Linked DNA regions of Oreochromis niloticus. The protein of the gene in region 1 binds, or shares a complex with, the protein of each later gene. Links are inferred from orthologs where the notes say so. Each region holds a gene or a part of one and is shown on either strand. Other genes may lie near its edges.

Region 1 (8,785 bases):
GTCGACAGTGAAGGACATCCTGTTTTAGAAGAACTGTGCCCCTCCTGTTTGTCCGTGATGCTGCGGGACTTAAATTTCCTTAAGTCAACAGTCGTGACACTGAACCCCGTGAGTGCTTGCACCTTGAAAGTGTGAAGTCAACCAAAGTAAATCTTATTGTTCAGCGCTGGAAAGAAAATGCAGATTATTTATATTTAAAAAGAATAATAGGAAGAAAAGCTTGTATTTTACATTTACACCACTGAGCTGCGCTTGTGTAATCAAGTTGAGTCGTTATCCAAAAATAGCTCGACAAATTGCGTAATCTGTCTCTGCAGTAAAAGTGTTCTTTCTAATTAAAATCTCATCACAAACACAGCCGGCTCAAATGATTTTACACGCATGATACACGCCTAATCATTCTTTCCACGTAATGATCTTAAAAGTGTCTTCTAGAAATCCCATTCTCATTGTTCAAGATCACACAAGAGCGTGTGTGTGCCTCTCCGCAGGCGGTGCAGCATTATCACTGCTGTGTTTTATTAGTATTAGAGCACAGTGTTTAGATCGAGGCGCAGTAATCTGATCCCTGGGGGAGATTGAGCTAAATGTCAGTGAGCCACCTTGAGCTTTGCACTGCTACAGCCGGGCCCACGACAGCATCGAGGGTTACAAGTGAAGCACACAAAGGAGGGTTTCCAACACAGACCGCAGCCTGCAGGGGAGACGGAGATAGACAGAAGCAAGACTGAATGTAAATGTAGGGTTAGAAAAAGAAAAAAGATGGTAAAGATTAGAGAGATAAGAGTTAAGAGGAAGTAGGGGAGTATTGTATAAGTATGACTTATGAGAGTGGGTGGCCACATCTGAGTTCACAAAAATGACCTTTGTTATCTTAAGACTAAGAAGATGTTATTATATAACAACAAGTATCTACATGTTTTTTTAAACCTGTGAAACATTTTATAAGAGGGTTTTAAACAGCATTAATGTGTGAATCCTTCATTTCTGACCATATAAATTACAAGCATGTAATTTCATTACAGTCCGCTGAATGTCTTCTGCTTCTTCTTCTGGCTGCTTCCTTTAAGGGTCGCGTCACTGCCTCCAGCTCACCCTATCCCTAGCATCCTCCTCAGGCACACCAACCCTCTGCGCGTCCTCCTTCACTACATCTGTGTATCTTCTCTGTGATCTTCCTCTTTTCCTCCTGCTTGGCAGCTCCATGTTCAGCATCTCTTATCCAGCATGTCCACTCTCCCTCCTCTGCACGTGTCAAAAACATCTCATTTTGCTACTCAGATGAAAGTATGATCTGTAAACTTAAACCTAAATGATATTTTTATTTAGTTCTTGGATTTTCATAGTTATGAATGTTGGACTTTAAAATAGAAAAATGACCATTCATCTTATTGTTGAGCTGTAGCTGTTCAACTTAACTGTACACTTTCATTTTCAGAAGCATCGGTCAGTTATTCTCCCCTAAAAACTTCAAAAAGCCCAAATAGATCAAATTTGGTCCAGTCACTTTATTTCTATAGCACATTTAAACACTGCAGACATTAACCAAAGTGCTGCACAGCACTAATAAATAATAAATACATAAATAATGCACTGTGAATAAAAGCTAATCTGAATCTAGTGTGCGTTTATTTAAGCATTTGTATGGATATAGTTGTTAATGACCTTCAGCCTGAGAACCAGAGGACAAATCTTTCTTAGAACATGGAGTGCTCTTTCTTACAGAGGTGCGAATACAGCCAGTGTGGGAGACCATAACGGACAAACGGGATTCATAGCACATTGAACCATAGCTTATACACTGATGTATCCCGACTGTGTTTGTTTGTGTTTGGTAGTTCTTTTACTTTATGCAAACAAAAGGCCGTAAATAGGGCCAAATCTTCATATTTATCAAAGAAAGAGAAAAAACGTTCCCTTTACAGGTGGTTGAGACAAACACAGAGCATCTTTCAGTCTGACATTCATGAAGTGATTATTACTCATGTGCAGGTGGTGTAATAATATGTAATAGTACAGTATGTAGGGAATTTTCTACCATATCAGGTGTCTTGAAACACAGAAGCAACCTTTTTGATAAAAGCCTGGTCGTATCGGCCTAAAAAGAAACATGAAGCCCGCGGTGTGTTAACAGGTTATTTCTGCAGCCTCTAATTGCCATAACCTTTTTTTGCCGTTGCTGGTTTTAAAGACTTGTAAGTCAATTTGCAGCTGATAACAGGTCCCAGCAGGGTTCCCGTCTGTTTACACTTGGCCGTGCATTATGTTTTCAGCATGGGCATGCACATGCATTTTCACACCTGTTGCTTTGTCATGTGATATATGTGACGACAAGGTAACCGAGACCAGACCAGTTGGGACCGTGGATGTATTATAAGAACTGAGTACTGGACTCAAATATGGCACCTGCCCCCCCTAGAATGACAATTTCTGACCTCACACACAAACCAAAAACTTGCAAGCCCCTGTGTTGTGCTCTGAGGTTCGGAGTGCTGTAACATGACAAGAGGGAAGGTGGAGAATGGGGTGATACATAGTGAAACATTACAATAGGTTTAAAAATACAAAGAGGAGTCACCTGTAATAGACTGCCGTGCTGCCTAGGGTGTATCCCAGCTCTCGCCCTATAACAGCTGGGATAGGCTCCAGCACCCCCTGCAACTCTGAATTGGAAAAGCACTTGGATGGATTGATGGATGGATGGATGGATGGATGGATGGATGGATGGAAATTCATCATAAAACTATAAAAGTCATTCATCTGCTTTCTGAGTCAGTCCACAAGTACATTTGTTTTATTGAAAAAGTATTAATCTCCACTGCATTCAAGGAGTGTTTCTTCAAATTGCTGCACGTGAGTTGTCATAACTGCTCAAGACAAGATAACCTTTATTAGTCCCACATTTTTAAAATTCATATTATTACAACAGAAAAATTAATAGAGTTAAATAGAATAAATAGAAGCAGTATAATCTATAATCTACAAAGAGTCACAACTGGCAAAATGAAATAAACATATGATTAAATAATTAATTAAATGTATCATCAGTTAATTACAATTGGAAAAAATAGTTAAATATATACACAATTAATAAAATATCAGTTCATTTCATGTAAAACATTTTAATTCATTAAAATGTTATTTTAATTTTGTGTTTTAATAAATATTTATTCATTTCCAATTTTAATTAATTAATGAAGCATGTAATTTACTATTTAATGATCGTTCATGCATTTTGGCACTGTAACAACAGTACTATGCAAAAAAAGAAAATATATGTGTGTGTGTGTGTGTGTGTGTGTGTGTGTGTGTGTGTATTACCAATTAATAATACTTATTATCAGAAAAGTTATCCATATATCTTCTTTTGATATATGGATAACTTGATAGTAAACAGGTCCAGTGGAATAAGCACTAAGATATTTTAGATGACCTTATATTTAAAACTATATTACTTTGCGGAGTTTCCTTTGAGCCTTTGATAATAGTATACTGTGTACTGTGTACCAAAGTGGCCATGACTCCTCAGTAAATGTTTTATTTTGTTAAAACCCTTGAATTAAAGTTGAAAGTCTTCACTTCAATCACACCTAGATCACCTTACAGAGGTAAAAGCAAAAGAAAAGGTGACACTCTCCATAAACACATGGTTTAACTTTATTATCCAGCCCAGTTTAAAAAAAAGTTGGCAGTGTAAAATGGTGATAAAAAATATATTGATTACCAAACTGTATAAAAACTTATATTTAATTGAAAATAGTGCAGAGCAGGCATATTGAAAAGCCACAATTGATGAAATATTTAATGAAATGTATCAACAGGTGCACCTCAGTATTAACACAGAACATGAACTTTGAAATATCCATCAGCAACCTAAGATTCTGATTCATCAAACCACTGGATATTTGGATGCTTTAGGTGATCTTGTGCTGGTAGAAGACGTACATGTGCCTGGATCACACATCACACTGATGTGGGGTTTATTTGAAGGGTGGGATGCATGACCATTCAATTTTGGTTTTCAGTCTCATGTCCTCCACTTAATAATTTCTCATCTGAGAAGTTTAAGAAGATGAAAATTTTCAAAACACATGAAACAAGTCAAGGGGCCTCCAAGCAGTCCAAATCTGAAGGTTGGGAACTGCTTAAAAATCAGGTACTCGAAATATGCCTGAAAAGTCGACATCTCTCAGTGTCTTTTACGTTTCTTTGTCCACGTGTGTCTACAGACATGTGGACACACACGTGCCCACCAGTGTCCATTCAGACAGTCTTTATGTTGCCTCTCCATGCTAACCATGCATGTTCTCTTATGCACATCTTATTTCCAGCATGCTGGGACCCCTCTGCAGTTGCTGCCCTCTACCCCCTCCACCTCTCCCCCTCCCTCCCCCTGCCTATTCTTTACCACGGGGGCCATCCCTGCCCACCTATTTGTGACGTTCTCATCCAATGAGAGGGGGGTGCATGGTGGACAAGCACCAATGGGGCAACTTTTTCATCGCTATAAAACTTTTCAGGACAGTTTGCAGGGTTGCACTTTCTGTCGGTCCAGGGCTCCGAGAGGAGAGCAACAGCCCAGAGAGAGAGAGAGAGAGAGAGAGAGGGGGCAAAGTGAGAGCAAGTGTGAACGCACAGGGAGTTGCCAGTTTTTAATCCTAATCCCACTCTTCAAGAAAGTGGTGGGTAGAATGCCGCATCATTTGTTTTACGTTTCAGTGTTTGGCCAGCTGTAATTTCTCTCCATTTTTTTTCTATCCCTTTTGTCTCGAAGCCTCTCCGTTTAAGTAAGGATGGAGAACGCACACACCAAAGAGTCGGAAGACGTTCTGGCCTACTTTGGCGTCACTGAAGACACCGGCCTGTCACCTGAGCAGGTTAAGAAGTGCCTGGAAAAGTATGGCTACAATGGTGAGGGAAACAAAAAGATGGATGGATGGCCTGATGGATGCATGGATGGAGCACTTAGATGAAGCTTTTGATGCAGAGTGGAAAGAAAGAGCAGTAGAAAATGATGGTGAATGACATGATGGGGAGGTCCAGGAGAAGGAGTACATGCATCAGATTTAGCTTGAATGAGAGGCGGCATATGTACGGGGTGCCTCGGAGGTTAACAAGATAAAATGGCAGGAGCAGAGACACTGAGGGAAATGGGAGGGGAAGGTGAAGGAGGACAAGTAGCGGCAGTGTCGGTTTCAAAGCCGTGTGTGACTTTGTGATGCTGGTCTAATTAAGGGAAACTATCCGACTGACACAAAGCAGGAGTTATGTTTGTGGAGCAGGTGCCTCAGGGTGTCAAGTTCCTGACAACTGCTACTGGTTTTAGTTTAGATTGGGGGTAATTTATTTGTATTTTGAAACTGAGCGCACGACAGTCAAATATGTTGACTCAAGGTCAACATATTTACTTTTGTCTCGGCAGATGGAGTTTGCTGAGTTGCAGTCTCATTGAGCTTTATAAAGAAAGCATCAGAGGCCTCTTTTTTTCTTGCTTATCACAGCAGGGAAAGCGTAGGCATGAATGTAAATGTACCCACATTACTGCTTGGCTTAAGGGTTCAAATAACCGGAACTGGAAAATCATGAATATTCCTACCTCTGCTTCACATTTAATTCACTGGGAAAAAAAGTCCTTAATTCAGTAAAATGAAGAGGAATCATGTTTTTTGAGAATGCAATTTGGAGTAAAGTGTTACTGTTTATTGGAGCAGGGCCTCAGTTTGGTGAAGAAAGTGTAAATTGTGCAATGTAATGCTTCCTTTATACTGTGTATTTTGTACTCGATGGTTTTACGGTCAAATCGATTGACCTGGCTGCATGTTTCACTCTGCAAATATCAGAACGAATGTAGTAAGTGGTGTGCTTTACTAATGTTCTCTGTCTCTCATCACCAACAGAGCTGCCAGCAGAGGAAGGTGAGCCAACCCGAAACATTACACACCTGCAAGCTTCCTTTAACATCCCTGTACAGCTGTTCCTCTCACTTCCTGTCATGACTGCTCCCTTGCGTGTGTGTTTACCACTTGTTACTGACTCCAGTATGGTAATGATGTATCTACACCACACACTGCTCGAGAAACTAATGGATTGTGTCCACATCGGTTGTGCATTGAACTCAAACTAAAGCAGCAACAGTCTTTGCTGCTGGTTTTGGAGCAGCCCAAAGTGGTGGGAGGATATTAAAACAAACAATCATCATTAATCAAATATGTGTTTTCACCTAAATCACAGTCACTGCCTTTTCCATTTAACCCGGTTTGTTCATCAGTCTTACATGTATAATCACAGGAATTCTTAACACTGTATCAACATTGAATTTGATTTAATAGATGGGCTATGTCTATTTATTTGAATGTGTTTATCAGGCAAAAGTATCTGGGAGTTGGTGGTGGAGCAGTTTGAGGACCTGTTGGTCAGAATCCTTCTACTGGCAGCCTGCATCTCTTTTGTGAGTTTCATGATGCAAAGCATTCGACCATCCATTTATCCAATGCAAAGCACCTACTTATGTAATATTCATGAAGTGTTCAATGCACAGAGCTTGCTCACGTTCAAAAATTTCTTCTTCATTCTTCATCATCTTGTAGTGAAAATATATATTTTTCTATTTGTGTAGAGGTGCCCCTTCCATCCCTGTCTTACATTTACTATCACCAGATCCATTCAAAAGTAAATGGAAAAAGCAGAAAATAACATAATGTTTCAAGCAGAGGAAGACTAGCCACCACAATGAATGAAGGAAAAGGACATTTTCTCAGCAGTGCATGTAAAAGTTGTGTTTGCTATTTCAGTGATGGACACCACATGTAGTAGATTCTCTAATCTCTTCCTGTATTTCAGACATCATGTGTCTAATTACTTTTCTTTTCACTCTTTTGCATAACTTTCCAATTTACCTCAAATATGAACATTTTCTCCAAGAAAATCAACTTTTAGATATCTTTCAGATCACACGTTTGATGGGTTATTTAGGATTAAGCTGAGGTTGAGCAGTTAGAAAGTCTAGTTAGCAATTTACATTCGTTGTCCTGCAGCAGCAGTTGTCAGTGGTGAGTTGTGTTTCACCGGTCTGCAGTTCCCAGAAGCCGTACAGTAAAAGTGCAAGGGTCTCAGTTTGGTGCTCACACCTGAGAAGGCCTGAAACATTCTTGAACTCTGCCAGATTTGTGGGCATATTTCCTTTAAACTGTGAGAAACATAGTTTAGCACTGTAGCAATGCTTAAGGTACATTTTCTCTCGATTACCAGGGCTGAATGTATCACAGAGTTATATCAAGATGTTAACGGGGGGTGGGGGGGGGGGTTTGAAGCTAGAGCTAACCCTGCTCATGTAGATGATTTTTAGACTCTACCTCTGATTTAAACTTCAGAATATGTGGCAACTGAAGTTAAACACCCCCAATTTGTTGCCTTTTAAGTCTTGATTTTATGTTACGGTTTATCAACCTTGTTCTTACATAATTGGGGGCTTGTCTGGGATCTGGAGCTGCATCTCTTTTGACTCTTTACCAAACACAGACACACACTTCAGCTGACAAAACATCATGCACATCATCACGTTATTAGATTACCTTTAGTGCCACTCTCATTGACACCAGGAATCCCTCTCCCCTCCTTGTTGCTCTCGCCAGTGCAGTTTTATGAAGGCGACTAGGTTCTTCACATTGTTTTAATCTTCGATTGCTCCCCTCAGGGCTCCCTCTACAGCTGTCACTATAGCCTTAGAAGGCCTGACGTGCTGCGTGTGAAATAGCGAGAGAACAAGAGAAAGACGAAAAGAGAGTGGCAGTGCATGTGCATGGCAGGACCTTTATTTTAAGAAAGTCTCAAGCCAGGACGAGAAACTATATCCTTAGACAAAGGTCAGGGATGGAAGGAACGAGGGATTGCTTGCAGCAGCAGGAGAGAGTGAGAGACAGCGAAGAGGGCGGGGGGGGCTGGGGATTGGGTTGCACAATGGCATTGTCTGTTACAATGACAAATGAGCGCAATAGATTCAGAGTCATATATGGTTTCTAAAAGAGAGAACACTAAATACTGCAAATACATGGTCATCCTATTCATACACACAGGAATGCTCGACCACTGCAAGGTGTTGACAGGCCCTGACGCTCAGTCTGGAGATCGATTGTGTCTTTGAAGAGAAGCACAGTGAAGACAGACTGGAGAGAGCAAGCAATCAAGCCTATTTTTTTTTAAAAAGGGGTGAGAAAAGATGTGAGATGAAAAGCAGGCGAATGGAAAACAAGGAAGACTGTGATGCTGAGCTAAATGCTAAATGCTATAAAGGAAGGATGGGAGGACTTTACTCTTTTCTCTCCACTTGGGTCCATGCTCCGGTGGCCTGCAACTAATCTGTGTCAGTGTCAACACGAGGCCTTTCCGAAACACACCAGCATCAGTAACGTGTAGCTCCTGCTCACAGGGGCGCACACGTGCACGAATATTGGTTTAGAAAAAAGTCACATGGGGAGGATTTCATACATAGAATATCATACAGCACAACAGTGACAAAGAGAAATGTCATTTGATCCTACAGCGGTGCAGAAATAGCTCAGAGCCGTGACAAATATATGTTTATGTTTTATGCTACTCAGCAGTAAAAGATAATACTCTCACCCTGAGCGACAGGTGCACAACAAACGTAAAGACACTTTTGTATCACGGGCTTAGCGATAGTAACAATGTATAATTTTAACTCGAGAGGAAAGTGTCGGTACATTAAATCACCAAACCCAGCAGTGGAGCGCTCATGACAAGCTAGCAGTGACATAAAGCAAAAATC
Region 2 (8,976 bases), on another chromosome or scaffold:
TGGATGCCTTCATGCTTCAGTAATGTGTGACTGGCTTTAATTTGTTTTCTGAGAAGTTTTTTCTCTTCTTTACTTCTCCTGACGGCCTTCACGTTGTTTTCCTCCCTAGCATCCATGGTACGTTGTTTTAATCCGTCCGGGTGCAACGGGGACTGAAAGACGTCGGTTCCCAAAGATTACGTCTCCAGGAGGAGACATTTTTTAGAATATAACTAAAGTGTTTATCTTACATAATTCTGATTTGTTAAGAATAAAATGAAATTATTACATGTGAATAAAAAATATATATGCACTTCTCGGAACTTTGTTAGCTACACCTGCTAACTTAATATCATCTTGTCTTACTCAGCCAATCACATGGCAGCAACTGAGTGCATTGACGTGGACGTCATTAGGACGACCTGAGGATTAGAATGGCAAAAAATGTGATTTATGTGACTTTGAACGTGGCATGGTTTTTGGTGGCAGATGGACTGGTCTGAGTGTTTCAGAAACCACTGATGTTCTGGGAAGGCTGTTCTAAAGATGAAAGGGAAGTGCATACCACTGAGTGCACATAATATATAAATCTGATCATATGAACATCAGTGAGACACTCATTCTTCTATTCCAGATGGATGACTCAGAGTGCCTCGCTTTTCCACAGTGTTTTTCTTGATTAGCATCCGCGCATTTTTTAAAATGTGCATCTGGACTTTGCCTGTCATTTTTCCAGCATCTGAAAGAATTTTGTCCACCCTAAACCATGCAGGCATAAGAGTACAGTATAGAACAAAGCACAGGTGGAGCTATGATGCTCTTGATGACCCCTGATCCAACAGTCTGGAATAAAGATGCAGATTCAAAAAAGAACCTGTGACTGTGACCATGTGACTTTTCTTTTCCTTGAGGTTGCATTTTGCATTACACGCATTTTCCCTTTGATGTCTTTGAGAGCAATCAGTGCAACATTGTTAAACTTGTTCTATTAGTCTTAAGTGTTTCTTTTCAGTTCTCTTCTCATGTCAAAGCTTCTGTTCTGTCCTTTGGCTCCGTTTTGCAGGCATTATATAAACTGTAATGTCAAATCCACTTGATATCCAACTTGATACAGTGGGGGATTAAATATCGAGTGTTGGACTCTACCTTTCCATTTTCAGTCATTTCATTTGTCTATCATCAGATTCAGCTTAAATATTGGTATCTGACACCGACAGTTGGTATCCTTCATATTTGTCATTTTCAACAAAGCACCATACACAACACAGCTGGACATATTCTGATCAGACACGAGCATTCACTCATATTCTAGCATGGGTATTGACTTGTGATTGATGTATTCTGCCCATCATTTTGTCTTTGATGCAGTGCCTGCCCTGGCCACTCTTCCCTGTCTGATTTCTCTCTCAGAGGGGCCAATTATCTCAGATCCTGCATCCAAATTCCTCTTCTGTCAGATGAATGACTCTGCAGCCCCTCTGAACATGAGTGCGTGTTCCAGCACGCGTGTCTCTCTGTGTTCTGAAACATTTGTGCGTGCGCCTCAGTGCTTTGCTGTGTCCCTTTGCATTTATACTCGGGCGTGTTGTGTAATGAGGCCTTCACCTGTCTTCTGCCATCTCCGTAATTACACTGCTGGCCAGTGCGAGCCCTCGGTCGTCTCAACGGCACACTCTGTTTATCCTACAAAACAACAGCTGGTCAGGCAGGAGAGCATGTGGCTGCCCTCTCCCAACATGATAACAACATTCTGCTCTTTTTTTAAGTACTCAAATAAATTAAACCCATTTATCACTGTTGGGGGTGATATCAGGTGCAATATCAGTAAGAATTAAAGCTTTAACCTCTAGTAATGTTGCACAGAGTTTTTATAACACATGGATCAGTTTTGTTTACTTGGAGATGGGAAGAATTTCTAAACCACTTTCAGGGCCTTCAGTGTCTTCCAAGTCTCCACTGGCTTAAAACCCAAGGTTTGAGTTTCATTTTTGGAACAGAAAGCAAACATCCCATGCTAAAAGCCCAATTTAGAAGCTAATGAATGATCCAATAATGACTCAGTGACAGAATCCTATCCTTTGTCAACTCCAGTTCCCAGAGTCAAAAATAAAATTTGGACCTGAAAACGCAGATATCATTTTAACATTACATTTCTCATTTGGTTGGCCATACACAAACGTCTTAAATACTAAGGTGAAGAAGTTAGCATTAACATTGCACCAAGTGGAAATGCTTGAAGCTGCACAGTAATTCAGGTATTCCTCGTGCCATTGTTCAAGGGCAGCTTCACCTTCAGCACCAGCCAAACTCTCAAAAGCAATGTAATGGTGAGAACACAAGTGGAATCACTTCTGTACCCTGAGGCATGCCATCAACCTTTGAAATGCAAGACCGGTAGCTATTTGCCAAACTCCTGCTGCTGGCATCTTTGTATTGTAATTAGCTGGGACCACAGGATGAAGAAACCAGATGCTGCCTTTTAAAATAGTGACTCTGATGTCTGCCTCTCTCTGGAGACGTGTGAGCAGATGGTTGGTGGTTTGAGAAAGGTGAGTTATAAAAACTGCAGTCTATCAAAAATATTCAACATCTGCCAATGGTGGTTATGTCTTTTCATGCATACGGAGAAAGAGAAGCATGAAATTAGTAATAATGACAAATCATCAACACAAAATATTACCATTCCTGCAGAAGACAAAAGATTAGCCTATTCAAGGACTAACAGGGAGGGGTAAGGATGGGCAGAAATAGAAGCTAAAGCATCAGATTTTATGTTGAAATATTTTAACCGGTCAAAATATTTAGAGGTCTGAGAAGTGTGTTTGGAGATCCATCTGATCTGTGTATAATCTCTCTGCCAGAATAGCAGTCAGCTGGGATGAAGTCCTATCCTCTGATAATTGCTATGGCAAAGATCTGGCCACTACAAATGAGCAAAGTTGTGAGCTAAATAATTTTCCAGTGCCAGCTATTTATAGACCAATGTTCAGACTAACCCACAGTATTTAATGAATATAGGGAACTTGTGACATGATATCTTCCACAACCTAAGGCCAAGAAAGCCAATTAATGTTTTTACTGGCACTGGAATGAAATGCACCTTTTAGGGCTAAACGAATATATAAAATAGAATAAACATATGTTCCACCATTTTTTGGGGAATGCAAAAATATTCAACTTCTATCAGGTTTAATTCAGAGACATGAATTCTAAGGTAATTTGTTATAATCTAAACACTGGATTCTAATTTGAAATTAGATTTGCTGTATTTTGGTAAGACTCATACCATGCTCAGACATATGCTGTCTGCTCTAACACAAACGCCATTGAGGAGATAATATTAGCTTAGTTTACCATAGCATAGCATAGCTAGTTAGTAGCTAGTTAAAGAATTGTTTTCTTATGTTATAAAATAAAGTTGCCATATAATATGGGTTCCTCTTCCCACTTGTTACAATGCAGCCTGTTATACTATACTAACACCAAGAGTGCAATAGACAAGCATGCCGAAGTTACAGGTTGCAGTAAGTTGCAGTAAGATGCAGTACCACCAAAGGGAGATTTTATTTCAAGCCAGCATAAAAATAATCACAGGAAAGCATTTAAAGAGACATTACTTACACATTTACATGTAAGTACAAATTAGCCACCTAGCTTAATTGTTGTAGGATAGAAGGACCCGGGAATGTACTTGGTTACTCGGACTTCTTGGCTTTAAACACACTATTTCCCCCTCCAGATATTGCAATTTCTGGATGTACTGCAGTTTCTGCATTTCATGCTTTGCCATGATATTGGGTTGGTTGTTTACATGCTAAAATTAGGTCATTTTAGTCTGGTGCTAGGTGGCTGCCAGACATGTGTAATTCAGCCTTTGTGGATATAAATTATATGCTACTGTCAATAGATTAAAACGATAGAGTTCATAAGGTGTTAAAACTAAAACCAGGTCATATTAGCCTATTGCTAGGTGGTTGCTAAGCAATATGGTGGCATCAGAATATATTAGGCATAATTCAGTGTGCGTGGTTATAAATAAGATGTTCTTGTCATGAAATAAAAATCATACAATGTGGTCAGTCTTATAGTTTATAAATTATAAAAAGGAGTAATTTTAGCTTGTTGCTCTGGTTGCTAGGCAACATGATGACTCCACATTATCCTATATAGATAAGAACCTTCAGGCATTGAATAGATACCTGATGGTCTAGGAGGAGTTTGTGGACAAACAAACGAACAAAAACACATACAGACAATGATTTTTGTGTATTACTGTAATATTTTTATTAGTAGTAGTAGTAACTGCCATGACAAGAGAATTTTCCCTAGAGCTGGAATAAATAAAGCATATCTTATATTTTAGATGTGTTGCTCTGATTCCGACACATTACTGCTATTATTTAATTTCCATAATGTTCACAGTTGGAAACTGTCACCACCACATTAACTTACACATCAGAATAAACATAGTGATATTGCATTCAATAAATGGATGTGTATACACACACACACATACATCTAGCGTCCCAGAATCTGTGGAATGGTGTTTCTGAGGCCTTGTTGACACCCCTCTGTCTCTCCTCAGATTTAGAGGGCAACTCTCCCAGCACTTTTCTATCTTAAATGCACACACAGCTGTCACAGTGGGCCATAGTCCACCCCGCACAGAGATGCCAGCACAATTCACGCTGTGTTATTCAATCACCCCAGAATTGGATCTCTGTGACAATGGGAATCCCTGGGTGAAATAGCTCTTGGTCTGAGGCTGGCAGAGCAGCAGGGTGATAAAATTCAACCGGTTTGATCTGTTTAATCCTCAGGGAATGGCCTTGGAATCCTGCGATGGAAAGGTTCAAGTGATCTGTGCTCGGACTTTGTCCTTCTGTGGCCCCTCTGTGTGTGCAGGAGAAAGTGTGTTTGTCAAGGGGGTTTAACACTAGGTCAGAGATAACACCGTTTTTAGCAGCTGTCAAGTGTGAGGTGAGTTGAGATGTTTGCTTTGATGAAATGTCAAAATCCTTCTCTTAGCACCAGCATAATACAGAATATCGGGAATCCACAAAAGAACGATAACCTATTCTCAATTTAGTTTCTATTAAAGGAAAGCTGTGGATGATATTTTGAGACAGATGAGATACTTGATACTGCTTTAATGGCTCCAAGTAAATTCTAAAGCTGCAGCAAACAGTTATCAGCCAAGCCAAGCAAGCAGTTAGCTTAACTTAGCATTAGCAATAACGGAAAATACTACACTAAGCAAGCTAAAAATCAGATAATATCTTACACAGAGAATACTTTAGTACATATATTTTTATATAATTAATTATTCACTGGCTATATGCACTCACCAGCTTCTTAATGACGTACACCTTGCTAGTACAGTTTTGGTTTATCTTCAGAGCTGCCTTAATTCTTCTTGGCATAGACTCAACGCGGTACTCGAAACATTCCTCAGATATTTTAATCCATAATGTTATGATAGCATCAGACAGTTGCTGCAGATTTGTCAGCTGTGCATCCATGATGGAAATCTACCTGTTCTAATACACCCCAAAGGTGCACTCTCGGACTGAGATCTGGTGACTGTGGAGGCCATTGGGTACAGTGAACTCAATGTTCAAGAAACCAATTCGCGATGATTTGAGCTTCGTGGCTTGGTGTTTTATCCTGCTGGAAGCAGTCATCAGAAGATGGGAACACTGTGGCCATAAAAGGATGAACATGGTCAGCACCACTCAACTAGGCTGCGGTATTTAAGCAATGATCAGTTGGTACTAAGGGGACCAAAGTGTGCCAAGGAAATATCCCCCACACCATTACACCACCACCACTAGACAGGATGGATCCAAGCTTTTAAGATGTTTATACCATATTCTGCACCTACTATCTGAATGTCGCAGGAGGAATCAAGACTCTTCAGACCAGGCAACACTTTTCCAAACGTCTGTTGTCCAGTGTTAGTGAACCTGTTTGTATTGTGTCCTCGGTTTTCTGTTCTTAGATGACAGTAGTGGCACATGGTGTGGTCTACCGCTGCTGGAGCCCAGCTGCCTCAAGATTCATCATGTTGCTTGTTCAAAGCTGCTCTTTTGCAGACTGTGGCTGTAACGAGTGGTTGTTTGAGTTGCTGTTGCCTTCCCATCAGCTTTAAACAGTCTTCCCATTCTCATCTGACCTCTGACATGAAAGAGAACTAGATAGCTTGCCTTTTCTAGACCGTTTTCTGTAAACCCCAGAGATGTTTGTGTGGCAAAATCCCAGTAGATCAGCAGTTTCTGAAATGCTCTGACCAGTCAGCCTGGCACCAACAACCATGACACATTCTAACTCACTTAAATCACCTTTCTTGCCCTTTCTGATGCTCAGTTTGAACTTCAGCAGTTGTCTGACTATGTTTGCTAGCCTAAGTTAAGCTGCTGCCCTGTGATTGACTGATTCGATATTTATGTTTACAAGCAGTTGAACAGTTGTAGCTACCACTATGGCTGGTGGGTATAAAGATGTACGTATTATGCTAATTTTTGTTATATTGATATATAATACCAATCCATCCCATTACTATCCAGCCCTGCCTGGCTTTGTCAAAAAGTAACAGTAGGATAATAACCACTAATCAGCACTGAGTAACAATTTCTTTAATCTGTAGAAAAGATGAGAAATTCAGATTAGGTCCAGGCATAATCAAGGGGTTTAATTTTTTTGCTTTGCCCACCCACATGTGTGCATTCTACTAAGAGCATTATGTATCCTCTGTATCTTCATCCATCAAGGATAAGCAACTTAATGAAGGGTGCAAGCCACTGTGCTTGACACCCCTCTGTAATCAGTACCTATTTGAAATTCCACGTAAGTGTGTATTCTGATGATATCATCATACTTTTGGGCCATTACAAATTCTTTGCTTTTAAGTTGAGAAGGGACTCGATAGGCAACTGGTTAACAGAGGCTTCAGTTGGTTTAATACAAGCATGCCTGGTATTTTACATTTTGAAGAGACTGCTCCTGAGGACAATTCCTCTGATACTGAGCGATATTGTTAGTTTCCTATATCCATTGGATGATACAAGTATTGTGTTTGGAACAACTGTAATCCACCAAGTATCTCCAATAATGTGTTATAAATAACCCTGAGACCCTCCTCTGTTGTGTGTGTGTGTGAGAGCGAGAGAGACAGACTCTGTATGGTTATGGGTAGGAAAACTCCAGTGGATGAGATTGTGGAAAATAACACACTCTATTGGTTGTTTAGTTGGTGTGTGACATCAGTCGGTGTGTATGTGAACCATGGGCGGTCCACTGAGGTTGGCTACTTTAGGAGCAGGCCCTGCCCCTGGCAACAGCAGAAAACTGGACAACAGCAAGAAACAGATGCTACAGGGGAGAACTGCTGCAATCGAGACATTTCCAAGAAGAAGAAACACTTCTCTTGGAGGGCAAGGCAAGGAGCGGACGATAACATTTGCTTTCTCTTTATCCTGTTCATAGTGGGATCACAGCCAAGCAAGCAAGGTAACAGCGACTGTGACTGGGTCTGGCTTTGTGTTATTGTCCTCAGTAAAGCCTCAGTTTTGCCAGTTTTATGTAAGCTATTAATGGCACATATCAAAACTATCAAAACAGCCCAACTTCTAAATGTATAGAACATGTTTAATCTGATTTATTAGTGTATTAGCGTGTATGCTTTGTGTGTGTTTCTGTCCCATGTTAATATGAGGGGATGTTGTTGTCCTTTTCTTTGCTGACCTTTGGTGACTGTAAACAGTAACCCAGCAGAGAAGTCACTGATCCCTCCAACCTGTTGTAAGAGGGACTGCATAAACCAGCACAGAGCATGTGCACCATTGTGTATTGCATTTTTGTCTACACTCTAACAACTGAAACACAGTTTCTTTTTCCTACCTCTGTCTTAAAAGTTTACAGCAACCGACCTCTCCTCGACTGTCTCACCTATCCTCTCCATCCAGCACGCTGCCATGGATCGCTCGGTGCAGGAGCTGTTCCTCAACTTCATGATCGTCTTAATCACTGTGCTGCTGATGTGGCTGCTGGTGAAAACTTACCAGGACTAAAAAATTAAGCAATGAGAGAGGACACGGACGTGAGGCGGAGGGGATGGAGAGACACGTGCGTCGGGAAACTGGCGTGGTTATCGGAAGACTTGGCCGCTGGCTAAAGTGAATACAGTGTTTACACCTACAGCTCTGCTTATTCATGTGAGGTCAACAATAAGTGGTTACTATAGCCGGGACAAACTATGAATGATAAAATAGTTCACAATCTGTATTTTTAGTGTTTTTTGTTTTGTTTTTTGAATAAGGCCATGAATGTGAAATCACAGCAGAGTGGTCAGGGTTAATAAATAAGAATGAAATTGTTGAAAACCCAAATGGGATGGCTTGAAAACGCAAAAAAAAAATGCAATGTCACTATAAACAGGAGTGCATACCATAGCCTGTATGTCTAAGTGCCCAAATCATTTAACAATGCTGTTGTGTCCAATTTTTCAGTTTTTTTTGTCAAAGTGATGAACACAACAAACAAGCTTATAAAACTCATAAAACAAGACAACAGGAATTTTGAAGCATTATGTTTATGATCACTTCTTAACATTAAACAGTCTTTCATTTGTTTAGCTTCTGTTTCTCAGCACAAACTTGCCATGCAGTCATGATTCACACCCACATTTGCTCTTTGCGGGTTTGTTAAACTTTAATCTATACTATCCTTTTGAAGCTACAGAGTGTTTCTCTACGACTGATAAAGTGCAGATGAAAAACTGTTGTGTACACCCGGAGAAGAGAACCAGAACATGCATGGACACGTGGCAATGTAATAACAGAATAAAGGCAAGCTGATTAAAGTGCATACTGACATTTGCTTTCAAAAGCTGACCTATGTACTAGCAGACTGACTTTCCCCTTTAAAGTAAAAGCAAGAGAGGCTCGCCTCCTAGAGGCTCTCTGTGGCATAATTTGTGTATTCCTGCCAAAAAAAAAT

Evidence for each region.
Region 2: the proteins of atp2a1 (region 1) and sln are in contact, whole or in part, in a crystal structure (PDB 3W5A), measured with the Oryctolagus cuniculus proteins. The link is inferred for Oreochromis niloticus from reciprocal best matches to the Homo sapiens genes ATP2A1 and SLN. Residues at the interface, in XP_069919846.1 of Oryctolagus cuniculus: Phe88, Val89, Leu96, Ala100, Ile103, Val104, Trp107, Arg110, Asn111, Asn114, Arg324, Lys328, Trp794, Leu797, Gly801, Leu802, Thr805, Ala806, Phe809, Trp932, Ser936, Leu939, Leu943, Leu946, Ile947, Val950, Pro952, Leu953, Ile956; in NP_001075856.1 of Oryctolagus cuniculus: Met1, Glu2, Arg3, Ser4, Thr5, Arg6, Glu7, Leu8, Leu10, Asn11, Phe12, Val14, Val15, Thr18, Val19, Leu21, Ile22, Trp23, Leu25, Val26, Tyr29.

The regions. Positions count from the first base shown.
Region 1 is NC_031969.2:13,944,616-13,953,400, forward strand, and holds the start of atp2a1 (sarcoplasmic/endoplasmic reticulum calcium ATPase 1), read left to right. Parts: upstream 1-4,521; 5' UTR 4,522-4,682; intron 4,683-4,774; 5' UTR 4,775-4,793; coding exon 4,794-4,911; intron 4,912-5,897; coding exon 5,898-5,915; intron 5,916-6,365; coding exon 6,366-6,448; intron 6,449-8,785. UniProt on the Homo sapiens protein: Key regulator of striated muscle performance by acting as the major Ca(2+) ATPase responsible for the reuptake of cytosolic Ca(2+) into the sarcoplasmic reticulum.
Region 2 is NC_031979.2:18,102,409-18,111,384, forward strand, and holds sln (sarcolipin), read left to right. Parts: upstream 1-4,804; 5' UTR 4,805-4,959; intron 4,960-7,228; 5' UTR 7,229-7,488; intron 7,489-7,892; 5' UTR 7,893-7,952; coding exon 7,953-8,048; 3' UTR 8,049-8,607; downstream 8,608-8,976. Other genes in the region: alkbh8 (alkylated DNA repair protein alkB homolog 8), read right to left, coding at 1-116. UniProt on the Homo sapiens protein: Reversibly inhibits the activity of ATP2A1/SERCA1 and ATP2A2/SERCA2 in sarcoplasmic reticulum by decreasing the apparent affinity of the ATPase for Ca(2+). Also inhibits the activity of ATP2A3/SERCA3.